Coturnix japonica: one gene and its partner. The protein of the gene in region 1 interacts with the protein of each later gene in a pairwise test. Links are inferred from orthologs where the notes say so. Each region holds a gene or a part of one and is shown on either strand. Other genes may lie near its edges.

Region 1 (3,757 bases):
CTAGCAACGTTACTGCAACAGGTAGTCCCATTAACTTCAGCAGGGCTTCTCCTCCCAGGTTGCTGCTAACATGCAACTATTTTAAAAGCTGAAATTCAAAGAAAGCAAATGAGAGCGGGCTGAACATCTGCATCTGTGAACACACATCCAGGACAGAGGCAGGGGATGTCAGCAGCACTGCCAAGTGTTTGCACTGCTGGGACTGAATACAGCACACTTGGCCCTGGGCACAGACTGCACACACTGCACTTGGATAGAACACAGCAGTTGTACCATCCTATGCAGGCAGATGAAGGAGGAGCAGAAACGCACCTAGCAGTCACAAGTCAAAAGGCACACGGCATCTGAGCTGCTCTGAATGCTTCTCAGCTACCTTGCTCAAAGGGAAGGACACAAACTGTTTACGGTCTACACAAACTGTTTAGTCTCAATATGTACTGAAGACTCCAAGGTCAATATAAAGTTGACAGGACTTCTACTAAGCCAGTCTGGTATTTATACAGATAAATACCTGCGGTTCATGCTGCTCTCCCACTTAGCGAGCTCACTGTCTCTGACATTAAGATCTCCAAAGATGAGAAAATGAAACTCCTGCTCTCAGTAGCCACACTGTCAATGGACAGCCTCTCTAATCCTGAGCCAGTCTTAAAATGTGAAGGCAAGTTTTTATTGCAAATCATTACCAGTGACTCACCTGAATCGACAGTCCTTCAGCCAGTGTAATTAACGACTGCCTTCCACAGAACTGCAGAGCAAGGCAATAGTCTGCAGAGCAAACCCAAGGCCATACAGTGCTGAGCTACCCCAAGCAACAAACTATGCTATGGAAACAACCGCTTACCAAAACTTCTGGTAATACCACAGCTTGGCATTGCTAAAGGATGAATCCCTCACCTACACACGTCAAGTTTACAATGATTAACACAGTTTATTAGAACGTAACTTCTCCTTATTTTCTCTGCTTCTTTTGGTTAATATTTCAGCCTTCACCTCAGGCAAGAGAGCAAAACACCAACAGTGGCCACTCAGCATTCTCGCTCCTTTATGCCTAATTGCTTCACTATGAATTCCAAGCTCTGAAAGTTTCTTTCCCACACCTGAGGAACAATACAACATCTCAGTTTGGGACTGGGTTCTGAAGCTCCATCTGCCAGATGCTTGAAAATCCCACATCACCATTTGACCCTCCTCATGCAGGAGTCCAAGGACTGCAACTGCACCTGCCCTGCTCCTGCTGGCACCACACAGTCACTCTGCACAGTGTCAGTAGTTGGTTTTACCCACGTATCTTGTTCCATGGCACCAGCAGGCAGCTGTGTGCATGGGGAAACATCTCCCAGCAGTGCTGGATGAAGGCAGGTGTCAGGAGCACATCCTGCACAGCCAACAGTGCTGACACAGGGACCAAGCAGCAGGATGGTGACAAGAATCGTCCCTTCAAACCCAGGCCCACAGGAGGAGTCGGGAACAGCCGCTTTCCATCCCAGAGGAACGCACGGAAGGAAATCTCCCCCTGAGATCGCAATGATTCAGCAAAGGATGCTGGACACGACTGCACCGCTCCACCCGCTGCCCCCAAGTGCCCATCGCCTGGATACCGCTCCCGGCCCCAGCCCGGCCCTCCTGCAGCGAGGGGCAGCCCCTGTTCGAACTGAGGGCCGGGTACAGCCTCACAACATCCCAAACGGGGCCCGGCAGCCCCCAGCCCCAGGTACCCGCAGTCCCACAGGGGGCCCAGCCCCGTTTCCCCCCCCCCAGTGCAGCCTCCGGCCGCTCACAGCCCCGTGTTTCCCTCCCACCCCCCACAGCAGCACAGCACAGCACAGCACAGCATAGCACAGCACAGCACAGCACAGCACAGCACAGCACAGCACAGCATAGCATAGCATAGCATAGCACAGCCCGGCCCGGCCCGGCCCGGCCCCGCCCCTCCTCACACTCACAGTCGCAGGTCCCGGCGCTGAAGCAGAGCCCGGCGATGATGGGGGCGACTGAACCGGGAGCGAAGCAGCCGCCGAGGAGGGAGGAGCGGGGGCGGGTTCTGCCGCGATCCCCTCCCCGTGTCTCCGCCCGCTCCGCTCGGGTGAGGGAGGGAAGCCGCCTCCTTTCACCTCAGGGCCGACAGTGGGGACACCTCGCTCCGCCCCACGCCTCCTTGGCGGGCAGTTGTGTCACTGAAGAGGGGCACACAGATGAAGGGGGGCGGTGGGGGCGGTGCGGTCCCGGCGGCAGGAGGCGATGCCGCGTTGATCGCGCCCCGAGCGGCGCCATGCGAGCAGCACCGAGCGCGGCACGGCCTCACCGCCACCACAGCGCGAGACCGGAAGTGACGCATAAAAAGAGCGCTGGCTGCCAGCGCCAGTTCTCGCGAGAGTTCAGGCAGGGGCCGAGGTAGCGCGGGGGCCGGGCCGTTGCCCGGTGCTATAGAGGACACGGCCAAGATGGCGGCGGCGGCGGGAGCGCTGCGGCTGCTGGTGCCGCGAGGCCGCCTTCTCTCGCCACGCAGAGGCTTCCACCTCTCCGCGCCCGCCGCCATCCAGGTACGGGCCGTGAGGATGGAGCTGGGGCGGGGGGTTCATCCGTACGGGCGGGGTGGTGCGGGTGAGCCGAGGGACGGCCGCCCTGCCCTGCCCAGCACTGCCCGGCTGCCGCTTCCCGCAGGTGACGGTGCGGGACGCGCTGAACCAGGCGCTGGACGAGGAGCTGGAGCGGGATGAGCGTGTGTTCATGCTGGGCGAGGAGGTGGCACAGTACGACGGTGCCTACAAGGTGAGGGAGGGGGGGCCCTGCCGGGGCCGCAGTGCGGGCTGTGCGGGGGCTGACACCGCTCCGATCCTTTCAGATCTCCAGGGGGCTGTGGAAGAAATACGGGGACAAGAGGATCATCGACACCCCCATCTCCGAGGTACGGCGCGGGGCTCCCCCCACAGGGCTCCCCGTGGGCCGAGCTGTGGCGCTTAATGCTGTTTGCTCCTCTTCCAGATGGGCTTCGCAGGAATCGCCGTTGGTGCCGCAATGGTCAGTACGCCCTCAGTCCTAATGAACTGATGTACAAAACGAGCTGCTTTGGTGTTAAAACATATCGTATGGTCTAACTCTGATAGGCGGGGTTGAGGCCGGTGTGTGAATTCATGACGTTCAACTTCTCCATGCAAGCAATCGACCAGGTTATCAACTCTGCTGCCAAGACGTGCTACATGTCTGCAGGAACCATCGCCGTCCCCATCGTGTTCCGTGGCCCCAACGGGGCTTCAGCTGGCGTTGCCGCACAGCACTCGCAGTGCTTCGCTGCCTGGTACGGGCACTGCCCGGGGCTGAAGGTTGTCAGTCCTTGGAGCTCAGAAGATGCCAAGGGGCTGCTGAAGGCATCGATCCGGGACGATAATCCAGGTGAGCACAGTCAGATGACGGCAGTATTTAACTCTCATTTCTGAATGCTTCTTTTCCTCTCCCACCTCATGTAAAAAGATAAAAAGTTTATTCAGCACTTAAGCATTTTGTGCTGTTCTAACCTGCTTGCAGGTACTCATCTAGAAGCTTTGAAAGACACATTTATGAACTCATTGTAAAGGCATTATAAAGGATGAAGATGAGTCAGGAGAAGTACCTGCAGATACAGTACAGTGTAACTCATTTTTTAGAGTTGATGAAGCTTAGATGATAAATTCAGAATCTCATTAAGCAAAATCAGGGCAACCTTCATCTTTCTTTCTCACAAGCACACGTGCAAAATGTAAGGCTTTTTCTGAAGCTAGCA
Region 2 (2,158 bases), on another chromosome or scaffold:
ATGCCCCTCCTGGGGCACCCCCAGTATGGCATGCAGCTCTACCGCAACTACCAGCAAGCACAGGCGCGCCTGAGCCAGCACCCCTGGATCACCCCCACACCTCTGGTGAGTGCCCCCCACCCCCTCCAGCTGCAGCCCTGACCCATGGGGAGCCCCCCCTCCTCTAAGCTCGCTGTCACTGTCCCCACAGCAGAGCGTGTCAGACAGCGCGCTGGTGGCCATGGACTTCTCAGGGTGCACAGGGCGGGTGATTGAGAACCCCAGCGAGGTGCTGACAGCGGTGCTGGAGGAGGCGCAGGCCTGGAGGGTGAGTGGGGGGCACAGGCTGGGAGTGGGACCCCTCCTCACTGTGTGCTCACTCTGCTGCTTGCTTTGCACGGACAGAAGAAGACAACGCACCGGTACAGCCTGCCTGCTGCCTGCCAGAGCTCCCCACTCAGTGCTGGTGAGCAGCGCCCATAGGGGAGGAGCATGGAGACCCCCACTATGAGGGTCCCTGCTTGGAGTGGGTGGGGGTCCCTTCTGATGACCCTCTCCTCTGCCCGCAGCCATCCATCGCACCCAGCCGTGGTTCCACGGACGCATCTCACGGGAGGACACCCAGCAGCTCATTGGCCGCCAGGGGCTGGTGGATGGGTACAGAACTGGGGGGGTTGTAGAGGGGATCAGGGACCCCTGAGGTGCACACAGCCCCTGGGGGGCCACAGGGTCCCACAGCTCATAGAGGGTTTACAGGGGGTATAGGGAGGTCCTGGAGCCAGGGAGGTGGGTGGTGGGGAATAGGATCCCAAGGTGGAGGGAGACAGAGGGGTCACACAGGGTCCCTTGGGGCTTTGGGGTGACTCTGCTCTGGGGCTCACAGCGTGTTCCTGGTGCGGGAGAGCCAGCGTAACCCCAAGGGCTTCGTGCTGTCCCTGTGCCACCTGCAGAAAGTCAAGCACTATCTCATCCTGCCAGTGAGTATCATGGCTGTGGGAGGAATATGGGGGGGTGGGGGCACAGCCGGGCCTGATGCTCACCTGTCTGGCAGAGTGAGGAGGAAGGGCGGCTCTACTTCACCATGGACGACGGACAGACCCGCTTTGCTGACCTCATCCAGCTCGTGGAGTTCCACCAGATCAACCGTGGCATCCTGCCCTGCAAGCTGCGGCACTACTGCACCTGCGTGGCCCTATGAGCCCGGCGCTGCTGGCACGGCTCAGCACAGCTCAGCATGGCACCATGCATTGCTGCCATAGGTTGGCACAGCTCGGCACCATGCAGCAGTGCTGGCACAGCTCGACACAGTCAACACGGTGCAGCACGTCCCTGCCAGCGCACCAGGGCACCACTCGCAGCAGTGAGCGCAGGAGGGGCCGGGGGGCTCACCCCACACCCCACTGCTGTGGCCCCTCACACTCTTGCACTTTGTCCCCCCCAGCACCAGCCCCTCCTTCTCATGGGGTCATGGCTGCAGACCCCTCATCCCCATCTCCAGGGGGCTCATGGAGATGCTCCCTCCCAATCAGGAGGATGAGGGGCTTGGGGTCCCCACCACATCTCCCCATGAACCCCCCCCCAACCCAAGGCCAGTCGAACTGTGATGTGTTTTATACAAAGTGAGAATAAACGTTATTTTTTCAGAGCTCCCGTTTCTCCCCTTTCCATTGCCATCCTCACACCATGCCGGGGGGGTCAGCCCCATTGCATGGCAGCAGCACCCCCACACTGCCATGTCCCTGCAGTGCCCCCCGGTGCCACACAAAGGCCCCTCTGTGCACCACGTGCAGCTCAGCCACGCGGCCCCATAAATCCCAGAGCTGGGGAGGATTAGTGGGGAGGGGGGATTAGAGCTGGGATTTGGGGCCAGTAGCTATTAAAGCCATGAGGTGGGTGGTGAGGCCGTGGCCATGGCTCCCCGCACCGTGCTGATCACCGGCTGCTCATCCGGCATCGGGCTGGCGCTGGCGGTGCGCCTGGCACGGGACAAGCAGCGCCGCTTCCGAGGTGAGCAGAACAGGGGGTCCCAATGGTGTAAATGGGGAGGGTGGGGGGCTGATCCCTCCTGTGCCCCCCCTCAGTCATTGCCACGGTGAGGAACGTGTCCCGCAGTGGAGCGCTGGTGGAGGCAGCGGGGTCAGCGCTGGGCCGGACACTGGAGGTGAAGCAGCTGGATGTG

What was found.
Region 2: the proteins of KCTD6 (region 1) and GRB7 interact in binary tests that used the Homo sapiens proteins (3 or more experiments, as listed by UniProt). The two-hybrid records come from large-scale screens. The link is inferred for Coturnix japonica from reciprocal best matches to the Homo sapiens genes KCTD6 and GRB7.

The regions. Positions count from the first base shown.
Region 1 is NC_029527.1:9,337,184-9,340,940, reverse strand, and holds the start of KCTD6 (BTB/POZ domain-containing protein KCTD6), read right to left. Parts: upstream 2,304-3,757; 5' UTR 1,944-2,303; intron 1,597-1,943; exon of another isoform or gene 695-1,596; intron 1-694. Other genes in the region: PDHB (pyruvate dehydrogenase E1 component subunit beta, mitochondrial), read left to right, coding at 2,442-2,540, 2,662-2,769, 2,843-2,905, 2,983-3,018, 3,105-3,390. UniProt on the Homo sapiens protein: Probable substrate-specific adapter of a BCR (BTB-CUL3-RBX1) E3 ubiquitin-protein ligase complex mediating the ubiquitination and subsequent proteasomal degradation of target proteins.
Region 2 is NC_029542.1:3,938,157-3,940,314, forward strand, and holds the end of GRB7 (growth factor receptor-bound protein 7), read left to right. Parts: intron 1-24; coding exon 25-105; intron 106-190; coding exon 191-307; intron 308-384; coding exon 385-445; intron 446-548; coding exon 549-636; intron 637-862; coding exon 863-956; intron 957-1,030; coding exon 1,031-1,177; 3' UTR 1,178-1,627; downstream 1,628-2,158. Other genes in the region: RDH8 (retinol dehydrogenase 8), read left to right, coding at 1,890-1,986, 2,061-2,158. UniProt on the Homo sapiens protein: Adapter protein that interacts with the cytoplasmic domain of numerous receptor kinases and modulates down-stream signaling. Promotes activation of down-stream protein kinases, including STAT3, AKT1, MAPK1 and/or MAPK3. Promotes activation of HRAS.